Linked DNA regions of Cricetulus griseus. The protein of the gene in region 3 interacts with the protein of the main gene of each other region in a pairwise test. Links are inferred from orthologs where the notes say so. Each region holds a gene or a part of one and is shown on either strand. Other genes may lie near its edges.

Region 1 (4,811 bases), on a different chromosome or scaffold from region 3:
TTGACCCCTCTCCTTCAGAAGGCTGTCAGGCAATGATCTTGGGCTCAAAGTGTCAAGGGATATTTCTAAAAAGGTAGTGAAATTTAAATAGAAAAGTTTTCTACAGATGTTTTATGCTGGGGTCACTCATCTTTTATTTGAGTTAATCACATTCCAAGCTTTAGCACTCAAGTACCACTTTCAGGATGCTTATCTGGATCTCTCCTGTACTATTTCTTATTTACCAAATACCAGTCTCTCAACTGGCTATCCTATATTTTTAACAACAATGTCTACAAAATCAGTTTGAGACATTAGGGTTTTTTTTCCCTAAATCTAAGTTAAAATAAGTAAAATTTTGTTTTGTTTACATGCATATTAAATATTTTGGTGGCTTGCTTTTTTAAAATGATCCTCAGCTCACCAAATCATTTTACATTAATGATAGCACCAAAATTTGGAAAAACTAACTTGCTACATATTTAGTTAACTTAATAATCCTGAACTCTGTGAGAATTATAAGTGAGTGCAAAGGGTGGAGTCAGACTGATTGAACTTAGTTGACCATATTAATTGCAATGCTCAGACTGGAAGATTGAATGAAAAGAAAGGAGTACCAAGGACTATCAGAATTTATTGTGATGTTTTGCCAGTACTGTCTTCCTCATTAGCTGTCCTTACTGCTTGCTTCTATTGTGGGCACCTGCACTAAACACTATGTGTAAAACCTCAAGCTCCACAACAGAATATACACACTATTAGAGACAGGGGTCCTAACATATGTGCAGATGTCAGTGCCATACAGTTCAGAGAGGTAAGTATAACTTCCATTTCATAGATAAGAAAACTGACATTTGCTCAACTTCACCTCTAATATACGGCAGGACTGATACTTAAGCCTAAGTGCCTCACAAATCTCCATCGCTGTGCTGTAACCAGGAAAGCAGCAAGCAGCAAAAAAAAAAAAAAAAAAAAAAAAAAAAAAAAAAAAAAAAAGAAAGAAAGAAAAAAAAAGTCCTATGTTTTAAATGTTTTTCAATTTAGACAAAGCTTCACAAAGCCCCAGCCTGGTTTGAACTCACTATGTAGCCAAAGGCTTGCCTTGAACTCCTGATCCTCCTGTCTCCACCTCCCAAGTGCTAGGATTACAGGCTTGCATCATAAGACCTGGATCAGCTGATCATTTTAAAATAACAATAAATAGGGACATTTTCTTTGAAAGGCAACACAGTATGGTGATTAAAAAGTCAAGTTCAGGCTGGGGAGATTCCTCAGTGGCAAAACATGATTACTATGCAATCATGAGGACTAGTGTCCAGATCCTTAGAACTAAGTGAAGACTAGGCAAGCTAGGTTATCCAAAAGAGGTGGGATCTTCCAGGCAGGTCAGCTAGCTGGACTGACTGAAATTGGCAAGCTCCAGGTTAAAACAACAACAACAACAACAACAAAACAAACAAACAAAAAACATCCTGCCTCAATTAAGTAGAGGGCAATCAGAGAAGACACTGGACATCAACACCCAACCTTCATATACACCTGCACACAACATTGTGCCAACACACATTTGAATATACATACAGGCATACACATGCACACACAGGATGTGCAAAATAAATAAATTAAATACAAAGAAGTCATATTCCCAGATTTAAAGCCAGGCTCTACCACATACCTGTCACATTACCTTGACAAGCTTTGCTTTCCAAACCTCAATATCTTCACCTCGGAACTATGGCTATGAGTAAACCCTATCTCCATGAGGCTCTTTTTAAGATCACTACCAGCCTCTACGTCTTACGCTTATGAAAAGCACCTGGCACAACCTCCGAAGTTCTATTTTAAGTGTTCTGCTGTCCTTACTACTGACAGGTACAGACCAAGCACTTCATTCGCCTCATTTGAGCCTTCCAGGAACCTCTGAGGTTAGGTATTAGTTTCATTTTGCTTTGGAGGAAACACAAGTCCCAAAAGCTTAAGGCATTTGTTCAACTCACGGATGAGTAAGTAGGAGGTCTGATTCTAACAACTTCATGAAACATTACCTCTAAACACACCCTAACTTCTTATCGACACGGAAAGAAAGGTCACAAGTATCTCTCTGACACGAGTTTGTTTTTTTTTTTTCATACATCAACCTAAAACATACTTAAACTTTAAGCAGTCTCTAAAAATAAAGTTACTAAACTGGCATGATCGTCTTAAGTGGGAAAAGCCTGACGTCTCAATCACTTTGGACATGGTCACGGGTGTCAGGTTCAGTTCTGAATCTTCCTCTACACACGGTAAGTTCTAAGTAATGTTTAAGATACCGCCTAACTGCTCACAGCGCTGGCACACCAGTGGGTACCAGTAACCCGAAATTGATTCCATTTTTTAAAATGTTTGCTCTGTTCATCCGCTGGAATTCTATCACGTGTAGCACGGCCCACCGACACTGGACTCTGCTCAAAATTAAGCACAGCAGGGGCTGGTTCTGAAGAGTTCTACCTGCTCCAGGTGATGCTGATCCCGGAAGCTAAGCAGCAGGCAATCAAGTCCTAAGCTGCTTTTACTGAGAGAGATTCGCGCAAGCTACAGCTTGGCCCCCTCCGGAGATCCCCCACTTGTGGAGCCAATAACTCAGGTCTTTTTTTTTCTGCCACACAGTGTCGCAAAGTACCATCAGACAGGGCCTCGAGGGGTTTCCCTGAGCCAACGTGGGCGATCTCCAACCTCAGCGCCCATTCGGACTCCACAAATCGCAGGGTACGCCACTGGTACAAGCTGCCCCGCCCCAAAAAAGAACTAGGAATGCCAGCCACCTCAAGCTCTCTCGGGCCACCTACAAGCCCGGGTGAATCCGTGTGCTTCTGACATCTATGGCAGTGAGTCCGCTCGCTGGCAGCCCGGGGCGCCAGCACTCCCCGTCAGCCGCCCCGACTGCGTCCGCCCATCCCGGGACAGGCCTGCCAGACAGCAACCGCCGCCCGCGCGGCTGACAGCCCCGGGTCTCAGGGACCCGGGACCCGCACACCAGCCCTCTAACTCCGCCGCCACCGCCGCTCAGCTCCGGCTCGGGAAGTACCGGTCAGGCCAGGGTGGAACGCCGAGAGCGGCGCGAGCGGCCGGCCAGGGATCCCGGAGACCCCGAGGAGGCTGAAAAGAGGGGCCGGGCCGTACCTGTCGCGCTGGGACTCGCCGCTCCGAGTGACGCGCCACGCAGTGCATTGTGGGGCCGGGAGGGGCCTCCCAGCGGGGTTGCCCGTGTCCAACGTGGCTGGTGAGGGCGGAGTTCACTCGGGCCAATCAGGTTCCGTGGGAAGCACCCAATGGCACGCCCCCTTCCGAGGCCCGCCCTATCTCCGCCCCCTCCAGCGGAGATTGGCAGGTTCTTATGCACCTGCACCAGGAGAATGCCTAGTCTCCTGAGGACAAAATTAGGCTGTCCCTGGGAAATAAGGCTAGTCTCCTTCACCTGCTGCTTCGTGTCTGGAAGCAGTTTCTCTCATGCGCCACTTGGGACAGAGGAAAAGCTCTCTCTGATGAACAGGATAAGGACCTTTCCCCGTCAGCCACTACACAAACTTTCCAAGACAGACAAATGACACATGCTGGCCCCAGTAGCCCCACCCCTACTCCCGCCCAGCCTTCTAGAGGTCATGTATTATTAAACAAACGTATACTGAATGCCTATCAAGTGTCAAGCAGCATGTTAAGCATGTTATACAGGAATGTTCACAGCACTCCTTTTAAGGTGTAATCGGAGCAAGAGGCACTAGAAAAACTGGTACAGAAATATACTATGTGATTGGTACAGAGAAGAAAACTTAATAGGTGTACTGATGAATTAATTGAGTGTCAGGAAAGAACTCCCTGAATAAGTGCCTTTAAAGTCAAGACATATTAAGGGATCTTTAAGAATGTTCTGGGTCTGCTTCTATTTCCACCAACTGCTGGATGAAGGCTATATGCTGGCATATGAATTAGTCATCAATCTCATTATCAGGAGAGGGCATTTAAGGTAGCCTCCCCTCTGTTGCTTAGATTGTTAGCTGGTGTCATCTTTGTAGCCCTCCAGACATTTCCCTAGTGCCTGATTTCTCTTTGAATTTATAATATCTCCTTCTATTATATTATCTCTTATCTTGTTCTCTTCTGTTCTTCCCACAGCTAAACCTTGGACTGAACTGATCCAGAAGCAGAGAAGAAGGACTGATGAGCAAAGGGGTCCATACCAGGCTGGTGAAACCCACAGAAACAACTGGCCTGAACAAGGGAAAACTCTTGGTCCCCAGACTGATAGCTGGGAAACCAGCATGGGACTGATCCAGACCCCCTGAACGTGGGTGTCAGTGAGGAGACCTTGGGACCTCTTGTAGTGGATCAGTACTTATGGCTACCATAGGAATGAACTTTAGGAGCCCATCCCACATGGGGGGATACTCCCTGATCCTAGACACAAGGGGGTTGGCCTAGGCCCTATCCCAAAGAATATGACAGACTTTGAAGACCCCTATGGAAGGCCTCACCCTCCCTGGTGAGCAGAAAGGCTATGGGATAGGTAGGGCATTAGTGGGGGGGGGAGGGGAGGAGGGGAGAGAGAGGGAACTGGGATTGACATGTAAAATAATTTTTTTCTAATAAAAAAAGGAAAAAAGAAAAATAATATAAAAAAAAAGAATGTTCTGGGTCCAGGAACATGATTTGTGAAAATTTGGATTGTCCTAGGAAGGTGGGCTGGTTTGTCTGTCAGCTTGATACAAAGCTTAACATTGATGGGAGAGGGAATCTTAATTTAGAAAATGCCTCTGAAAAAAAAAAAAAAAGCCTGGGGGCAAGTCTGTGGGATG
Region 2 (4,720 bases), on a different chromosome or scaffold from region 3:
GGTCAACTGTAGAGAACTGCAGAGAGCTAAGTAGACGCTTTTTCTGAATTTGGCTGAATTTGGTTGGCAGTAAGAATAAGTGAAGAGTGTTTTGATTTTGCATTTTAAATGACATTAAGTAGGTTACACCTGCTTGGGCCTTGAAGGGCTATAGTGTGCTGTCCAATATGAAATTCACATGTGACTATTCAGGTATGACTAAGGTCTTTAAAAAGTAGTGTCATTGAGAAACTTGCATTTAATTATCTTAAAAACTGGCACAAAATCTTCTTGCCAAAAAAGTGGTATGTATGTTTGGAGCAATTAGGATATGTGAATTTCTTCCTTCTTTTCTTTTTTCTTCCAGACAGTATCTCATATAGCCCAGGCTAATCTTAAACTCATTATGAGGTTAGCTTTTGTGTCTCTGGCTTTCCAGAGACACAAGTGTTGGGATTACAAGTGTTCCCTATCACCCCAGACTCTGAATATATCTTTTGAACTGTAAGTTTAAAGAATTCTAAATATAGGACATATGTTCAAATTTTAACAGCCAAATTGAAATGAGACAGAAGTTTAAAATAACAAATTTTGAAGACTTAATACAAACAATCTTTAACTGCATGTTGAAGCTAAGTTCATGCCTACAATCTCAGCACTTAGAAGCCTAAGCAGTAACTGCTGAGTTTAAGGCTAGCCTGGGCTACACTGCAAGTAAGAGGCAAGCAAGTTCTACATAACAAGACCCTATCTCCAAAAAAAAAAAAAAAAAAAAGGAAAGAAAAAAAAAAAAAAACACCTCTGGCAGTAGTAATATTTTGAATCTATTAACAAAGACATTGGTCAGGTGGTGGTAGCATTCACCTTTAGTCCCAGCACTCAGGGGGCAGAAGCAGGAGGATCGCTGTGAGTCTGAGGCCAGCCTGGTTTACAAAACAAGTTCCAGGACATCTAGAACTGTTACACAGAGAAACCCTGTCTGGTAAATCCAAAAGCCCAATGGGAAAAAAAAGTCATAGTTGAGACATCTTTACTTTTTCTATTTGTGATATTTTCAATAATCTTATTTTTTAAACTTTTCCATTGTGTGTGTGTAAATTCCTGCATGTGGAGGTCAGAGGACAACAAGCAGGATTTGTGGGGATCAAACTCAGGTCATCAGGCTTGGCTGCATGTGCCCCTATTACCAAGATATCTCACTGGCCCTCAAAACTGTTAACAAATAAACATGCATGAACATGCTATCACACATCTGGAAACACCTATGTGGCTGACTTCACTTTCCTCTTGGATAAAGTACAGACAACTACTCTTACTTCAGGCACCTTAAAGACCTATGGCAGTGTTCTAATAAAGTAGTACTATCTAGTCAATAAGGGAGTGCTGGGAGACTATGGGGGAGGGGGGATATCTACATGACTGAACAATGAAGAGTTGTCAAAAATCACACTCAAAGGCAAACAAATAAACATTTTCTGGTTTTTCTCTGACATCAACTAACTGCCAGAGATAACTTTTACAACTTGAGTGTTAAAAACTTCAGTTCTGGGGCTGATGAGATGTCTCAGCGGGCTAAGGTGCCTGCCACCAAGCCTGAAGACTTGACTTTGGTCCCTGAGACCCACATAGTGGGAGGTGAGAAGGGATTCCTGCAAGCTTGCCCTGTGGCTTCCACATGTGTGCCACAGCATTCACATTCACACACACACACACACACACACACACACACACACACACACAGAGAGAGAGAGAGAGAGAGAGAGAGAGAGAGAGAGAGAGAGAGAGTGTGTGTAAATTAAAAACAAAACAAAAAAGCCTTCCATTCAAGGGAAAAGTATACAACTCTAAATTTAAAAACAAAATCCTAAATCAATTCCCTAATAAATAACTTATTTTCTGTATAGGTAAATTTTACTGTTAAATCTATACCTTCCTATTCTCCCATCTAAATTAAAGCCAGTGAAAGAAAAACCCTTTAACTGAAATGTTAAGAAACAGTCGTAATTATTTGATTGAATACACCATAGATAATAAAGTACCTCCTCTAAAATACCATTTAAATATTCCCAGTACCCTTAAGTATAAAAACAAACACCCACACAACTGGTCAGCTTTTACCACTCCACAAATAAGATGAAAGTAGCAACTAGTGAGAAACAAGGAATGCTTCACAGTCAGTAGAACTTATCCTGTCTTGACTTTGCAGTTCTCAGATTTTTGACATTTCTCTGACATTCAAAGCATAAAGCTGACATGTTATTAGAAATAAGTTGCGACATCGTAATTGCGTTTTGTGTAATGGCTACAAAGTTGATACATCGAAGTGCCCCTGATGTTTCCATCTCCCAACAGAGCATCAAAGATGGAGTCAGGACAGCTCCCTGGCAAAAAGAGGGCCGATGACTTCTAAAAGGCAGAACGTTTAGTGAGAGAAACCTGTCAAACACCCAGGACGAAACCAAGGAGTTCAAAAGAAACAATCATTTCCTTCCACACGGTGGGAAAATCCCGATGGCTCTCAGAAAACCTCGGGAAGTTTGGTTTGGCTGTTTGCATCTTGTTTTCCTACCAACATCAGTACCCGGCCTGGAGGACTTTTCCTCCCCCGGGAAACCGCGCGTCCTCCCGCACCCGGCTCCCGCACCGGCTGGACGCCTCCGGGCAAGCCGCGGGGTGGCTGTCCCGGGCGAGCTCCCGACTCCACAATGGAGCTCGCCCCCGCGCACGCCCACTCCAGGAGGGCCATTTCCCTTTTCCTGCCCAGATGCTGTCCGCCCTCTCCAGCGCGTCGCTCCCCGCTCCCCACCTGCGGCGCGCGACCCCGAGGAAGTGGCCGTGCGGGCCGAAAGGAGGACCCCCGGGGGCCCAGCCCCGGAGGACGCGCGGTGTCGGGGCGCAGAGGCTGTGCCGCCCTGCCTCGATTTCCCTCCCTTCCCCCTGCGGCGAGCGTCCTCGGCCCACACTCACCCTTTCACCACAAAGAAGGGGTCCTCCATGGACATGGCGCCCGGCCCGGCAGCCCGAGCCCTCCCTGAGGTCTCCCGCGGCCAGCGCCTCGGCCGAGTGACCCGGAGCAGCGGTGCGCGCAGACCTGGGTGCCCGACGGCCGCCGGTCCAGCACTCGGTCAGCGCCGTGGGCCGAATCCCACTCCAAGCCGGCCCCCACAGCAGCCTCCTCCCCCGGCACCTCCGGCGCCTGGCCCCGCCCCCAAGACATTCTCTGCGACCAATCAAGAATGCGTATCGCAGCTCCACTTCCGCACTCACGCTCACGTGACCCAGATCGCTCAGGCTCCTGGCCTAAGAGGGGCGGGGCTTGGGCTAGCGTCCCTGGGCCCGAGAGGCGGGCTCTGGGAGGTAGGAGAGGTCTTCTGCCTCCGCTGGGAGAAGCCTACAGGGGATTTTAGTAGTTGCTGAATCTGTCTGCTTAGACCTCTTACCTTTCCTCAACTTTTAAGACTTGCTTTTAACGCCATATGACTTCCGTGCCCATCACATCCACGACTTGCACCATAGGATTCTCAAATAACCTGATTATGATAAAGTCTTAAGTCATGTAGTGTCTACAGGCTCAATACTCCATACTCTTTGGGGGACGATCCTACTGTTTTTTGTGAGAGGCTTCAGTCTCTGTTGTACAGGGAGGGTCTCACGACCCAGACATCACAGAACCCCAGATCCTGGACACTTTCCCCAAAATGGACAGTATTTTCTTTTGAATTACATTCTGAAAATGAACTTCGCAGCAGAGAGTTGAAGGTCAAAGTAACCAGGCAGGGTAACTTCCTCTCGACTATGATTCCAAAACATCCAGAAAACATTTTATCTGGCACAGTTAGTAAACTGGAATATTCGACGCACTGTACAGATCTTTCATGGTTAAGTAGTGTGACCTTTCATTGCTGATAACCACCAATCACTTACGTGCGTTGGGCAGGGTTCTAAGTTACTTCACTATCTTCAGTAAGGTAATTACTGCTACTTAGTATCTGTATTTTATGAATGAGCTTTCTGAGATTCTGTGAGGTTAAGTGATTTGCCCAAAGTCTCTAGTCTCTTTGGCGCTTGCATCAAACAAATCTCTTTTGAACCTGTAGTCCCTCAATCAACTCCTCATCTTTAAGATGTAAACAAACCAGGCAGTAGTAGAACATACCTTTAATCCCACCACTCGGATCTCTATGAGTTCGAGGCCAGCCTCGTACTCAGAGCTAGTTCTAGGACAGCCAAGGCTACACAAAGAAACCCTGGCTGGAGGGAAGGGAGGATGTAAACAATATCTAGCTCTTGTGTAGGTATGTAAACTCTGAGGTCCCCAAAAAAGAGGAGGTACAGCCAGAGACACCTGGAGGAGGCTGTGGACCAGATGACAGCAAGAGAGAATGAAGGGAAAGGAGTGACTCAGATAGATGTTGCCCATGGAATACAAAACATAGTGCCATAATGGGAGAAGGGATGAGGAGAGAAGAGAGAAGAGAATGTCTAAGACTCCAAGCTTCACTGAACTGAAGGAGCACTGGACAGCAGATGTAGAGAAGAGGGGCTTCTGGGAGAGTTGCTGGCTTTGGATACCTGCATACTGAGATAGGTAGATTAAAATGCTCATGTGACAATGACAGGTAAGTGGAAGGGCAGATGAGCCCAGGGATTGCAAGTGATACTTGGAGCCTGATCCTTGAGTTTAAAACCTCAGCTCTGCTACTCTCAGCAGCTGTGTTTGAGCAAAGTTCCTAACTGTTCA
Region 3 (4,762 bases):
AATCCCCACTCCTGCGCCCTTTCAAGATGCCTACCTACTCCAAACCTGACCTCCATAAATCCCAAGCACTCTTCACCATGCACCAGAGGGGCCCAGTCAAGTCACGTGAAATCTCCTCACTCAGACACTGCCTGGCATGACTTCTTCTCCACCAGAATTCCTCTTCTTCCTTTTACAAATGTTCTTTTTGTTTGTTTGTTTGTTTTTGTTTTTCAAGACAGGGTTTCTCTGTGTAGCTTTGGAGCCTATCCTGGCACTCACTCTGGAGACCAGGCTGGCCTGGAACTCACAGAGATCCGCCTGCCTATGCCTCCCGAGTGCTGGGATTAAAGGCGTGCGCCACCAACGCCCGGCTACAAATGTTCTTAAAAATATATTTTATTATGTGCCTTCATCTGTGGTATCCAAGGAGGTGGAGGGCCTCTTCCTAGAGCTGGAGTTACAGATGGTTGTGAGCCACCTGACATAGGTCACAGCTGGGAACAGCTGAATTCAGTTCCTCTGCAAAAGTGGTGTGTGCTAAGCCATCTCTCCAGTCCCTACATCATACGTTAATATATGTCTTTACTGTGTATGCACGGGGCAGGGCATGTGTGCCATGGCACATGTGTAGAAATCAGAGGACAACTCCCAGGAGTCAGTTCTCTGCACCCCATGGACCTGGGGCTGAATTGGGTTATAAAGCTTAGAAGCAGACACCTTTACCCACTGATCCGTCTTGCAGCCCCTCGCCATCTCTTAAATTCTATCTATGGGGCCAAGGATGTCCTTGCTTGTCATTTTAACTTACATTTATTTATCATTTATTTATTTATTTTTGGTTATTCAAGACAGGGTTTCTCTGTAGATCAGGCTGGCCTCGAACTCAGAGATCCGCCTGCCTCTGCCTTCACACTTGGCTCTTATTATTATTCTTTGATTTATGTGCATTGGTGTTTTACCTACATGTATGTCTATGTGAGAGTGTTAGATCCCCTGGAACTGGAGTTACAGATGGTTGTGAGCTGCCATGTGGGTGCTGGAAATTAAATCTGGGGCCTCTGGAAGAGCAACCAGTGCTCTTAATTACCATTTTTTATTTCTCTCTCTTCTTCCCTGAACAAAGCTATTAGTGACCAAGTCCTACATGAGAAATATCTTTGTTCCCTTTTCAGTCCAAATTCCCCATTTCAGTTTTGGGAAAATATGTCTCTCATAGCCAGGACAGAGTCATGTCTGACATAGCAAATTCTCTTTGAATGGCGGTGGCATGGTGTTATAATGGATTGAGAATTTTGTGACTGGGATCCTCTACCTAGACCAAATAAGCATAAAGGAAATTCATCAGGACAGAGATCCCAGATTCAACGGTCTGTAAGGGTTGCCCAGTCACCAGTTAGTAATCTAAGAAACACTTGATGAAATGTCCTAGTTCTAGGAAAATGAAACCAACCTGGGTTTTTTTCATTCTTGTGTTGACTGAGTTATAATTCTCATCAGCTTCTTCCTTCTGAGGCTCTATGGCTGTGGGAGAAATACGAGGGTTGATGGAAAGAAAAGCTTGCCCTGAGACTTCTAAAAATTGGCTGGGAGGCTAACTGATTTCTGTCTGGGCTAGCCTGATCTACCTACTGAGTCTCAAAAAATAATTAAAAAATTGAAAATACATAATAAAAAATTTTAAATGAATCAAAAAAAATTGTTTGGGTACCAGAATACAGGGCCACATCTACATTCCAGCCACATAATAAGGAAGTTCTTGTCTTCGTAGGATTTTTTTTTACAAAGTGACTTATGAGCAGGGATATATTTTAGTAGTGACACATGATGGAGGAGGAAGGGGGAGGAGGAGGAAAAAAGAAGGAACTAGGAGGAAGAAGAAAGAAGGAAGAAGGGGGTGAGATCAGCCAACTGGACCTGGTTACGGCAGGCCTTTAATCTCAGCATTCAAAAGGCAGGGAAAGATGGATCTCTGTGAATTTGAGGCCAGCCTGGTCTACATAGGAGGAAGAGGTGAGGGAGGGGGAGGAGGAGGCTAATTCTGATCTTCTAAGAGAAGTTTTTCTTTGTATTACATCAGTGGGTTCCCACAAGAGTGAAGGAGCCTCCTAAGAAACCCTCATCCATCTGCTCAAAGAACACACACTGGGCTTCAAGAACTGTAGCAGCAAGTAGTTTTGAATTTAGATGTAAAAATAGTAATAAAGGAATCTGAGAGGCCAGCATGTAATATATGCAAAGTACCAAGGCTTAGATGCCACAGGGCAGAGATCCTAGACCCAGACCTGCTCTGTGACCTGATATATCACTTGACTCCCCAGATACACGAGCATCAGGGCTGAATCACTGGGGATGATCTGGCTGAGGCCCTTGAAGTTCATTCACCTTTTAGCTGTGCCCGGACCTCTCTCCCCAGCTGTTTGATCTCCTCGCGCAGGTTCTGCAGGCCCTGCTTCATGCCTAAATGAGAGAAGGCCAACACTTCCAAACCACAGCCTCCACCACAAACCAAAACCAACCCCACCCCCGGCCAACATCTATATAGGACTACATCCCCCATAATCCACCGGGCTGGCGTACGTGAACCCGGGTTTCGCTTACTCTCCTCGGGAAGGGGCGTGGCCAGAATGGTGACCTGCTGTTTCTCCAACTCCCGGACTTTACTCTCCAGTTTGGCCATAGTTTGCCGAATTGCCTGGACCTAGAGAGGATCACCAAGGGAACTGAAGACATAAGTGGTACTGTAGTCCTCCCTACTGCTCGGTCCTCCGGGCCTTACCTTCTGGAAGAACTCGTCATCTGGGCTGCCCAGCCGGGCGGTACCTGGGTGCACCACCAGCGCGACTCGAGCCTCATCTTCGTCGTCCGAGCTGTTGTCCCCCTGCCAGGGCCGGAGTCATTGGCACCACTCGCTCGCCGCGGTTCTCGCCCCGCAGGAGCTATGGGCTTCCGGGATTTTCCTTCCTGGCCGTCAGCCACCCCTCCCGGACCCCAAACCAGGAGTCCTCAGTCCTGCGCGCCCGCCGGGCCCCAGCTCCTCACCTGCCTCAGCTCATGGGTCCTGTCGCGCATGGCGGCCCGAGCGCCCGGTCCCTGGACCTGAGCCCCGAGGGCCTCAAGGTTCTAAGTTTGGAAGTCCTGCACGAGCTCTCTCTCACTTGACACCCCCTTCCTCACCCTGCGAACCCCCAACGCCCCCACGAGCCCCCAGAGGTCCCGCCCCTTTCACCATGCACAGTCGCCGGGGAGAACCCGACCATAGGACCCCCAAAGTTCTACAGGTTGGAATTCCCTTCTCTTCCCCCCATCCTGCTCCCGCAGCCGCAGCCCCGCCCCTCGGGAGGATGACTCGGAGCATGCGCACGAGGTCTTGTCTCTTCCTCGCTAGGGGGAAAAGGCGGAGGTCGGAAGCAGTCGCGGCCGAACGGAAGCGAGGCCGCCTGGATCGAGAGCCCGTCCGCCCCCCCCCCCTTTCTACCGGAACATCTCATATTGGGACTGGAATCTAGTTGCCCAAAGGGTTGGGGATGCGTCATTTGCACGCAGTCTGAGAGCCTCGTATCTCACATCACCCCATGGCGCCCCCTCATCACGTGACAGACCTGGCCCCGCTCCGCCGGCTGCACGCCCGACAGCCGGTCACGTGTCCCGGCGCTGTCAGCGACGTCTCGGACTTCAGTCTCGCGACGTCCCCGATACCCCTGAGTCTGAGCTGTACCCCTTGCAGAAGGTGGGGAGGGGTACACCGACAGCTCTCAGCCACCTACAGAGGAGACCCTTGTAGACTTCACTTTCTGTTTTAATTTGGGGCCCTAGGGCGTGGGCGATCTGAAGACTTAAATTTGGGGGCTGTCAGTATCACGAGACCTTGAGAGTCAGAACATAATGAGATCGGAGGCTACAGCGTCAGAGGATTGCAGGGTTTTGTAGGCAGACAATCTGGGGGTGGGAAGTGACCTCAGCCAAGGTGGAACTCTTCCCCCTACACACCCTGCGTCCTCCTGGCACAGCCTCTGACAGGTGGGCGGCCTACGCCCTGTGTGAGCACTGCAGTCCCGCTGAGCTCGCCACCTTCAGATTTCAGAGCAGCTCAGACTGAGAGGAATGTATTGTTACCTCCGCAGCCCTGAAGTCCTAGCATGACTTGCTTTTCTTTTACGGAGTCCCCAGCACCAAATTCAGAGCTTGCTACATAATAGGCCCTCACAGCCTTGATCCGAATAGGAGCCTTTCATGTATCTGAAACTAAAGCCTGTGGCTTCTCTCACCGTCCCATTTCCCCAGGTTTGTCTCTCTGGACATATTTATTGGGCACATACTATAGAGCAGATATGTTTTAGGGGCTGGTGACACATCAGAAGCCAACAGACTAAAACCCCATGCACTTGTGGGGCTGTGATGCTTTTCCCTTTAGAAACTCCTGGATTTGGAAATGAGGGGGTGAGGATAATATGGCCCTGACCACCCCGCAGAGGGATGCGGTGTTGGTGGGCTTCTCAGGAGGCCCAGCTCTGCCTAGTGTGGTCCCCTGAAAATAATGTGGAGAAAAGTGCCTACTGTGGGGCCTGACTTTCAAGGTGTCATGATGCTGTCAGCCCCCAAATGGAAGTCTTCAGTTTGTCCATGCCCCTGGGGAACCCCCCAAAACAAACCAAAACATGAATTCTGCAAGGGTATCTTTGCCTATTAACTGCTGCCTCCCTGTTCAATTGCTACTTCCCTCCTACTCATCCCCTCCCTCTGACTCTCTGTTAGTATTACAAGGGGGGGCGAGTCGGGAGGT

What was found.
Region 1: the proteins of Stx4 (region 3) and Sec22a interact in binary tests that used the Homo sapiens proteins (3 or more experiments, as listed by UniProt). The two-hybrid records come from large-scale screens. The link is inferred for Cricetulus griseus from reciprocal best matches to the Homo sapiens genes STX4 and SEC22A.
Region 2: the proteins of Stx4 (region 3) and Stx6 interact in binary tests that used the Homo sapiens proteins (3 or more experiments, as listed by UniProt). The two-hybrid records come from large-scale screens. The link is inferred for Cricetulus griseus from reciprocal best matches to the Homo sapiens genes STX4 and STX6.

The regions. Positions count from the first base shown.
Region 1 is NC_048597.1:54,280,296-54,285,106, reverse strand, and holds the start of Sec22a (vesicle-trafficking protein SEC22a), read right to left. Parts: upstream 3,257-4,811; 5' UTR 3,142-3,256; intron 2,919-3,141; exon of another isoform or gene 2,784-2,918; intron 66-2,783; exon of another isoform or gene 1-65. UniProt on the Homo sapiens protein: May be involved in vesicle transport between the ER and the Golgi complex.
Region 2 is NC_048598.1:36,588,549-36,593,268, forward strand, and holds the start of Stx6 (syntaxin-6), read right to left. Parts: upstream 3,104-4,720; 5' UTR 2,982-3,103; coding exon 2,947-2,981; intron 1-2,946. UniProt on the Homo sapiens protein: SNARE promoting movement of transport vesicles to target membranes. Targets endosomes to the trans-Golgi network, and may therefore function in retrograde trafficking.
Region 3 is NC_048596.1:72,932,289-72,937,050, forward strand, and holds the start of Stx4 (syntaxin-4), read right to left. Parts: upstream 3,183-4,762; 5' UTR 3,052-3,182; coding exon 3,022-3,051; intron 2,861-3,021; coding exon 2,759-2,860; intron 2,703-2,758; exon of another isoform or gene 2,681-2,702; coding exon 2,581-2,680; intron 2,440-2,580; coding exon 2,365-2,439; intron 1,504-2,364; coding exon 1,433-1,503; intron 1-1,432. UniProt on the Homo sapiens protein: Plasma membrane t-SNARE that mediates docking of transport vesicles. Necessary for the translocation of SLC2A4 from intracellular vesicles to the plasma membrane.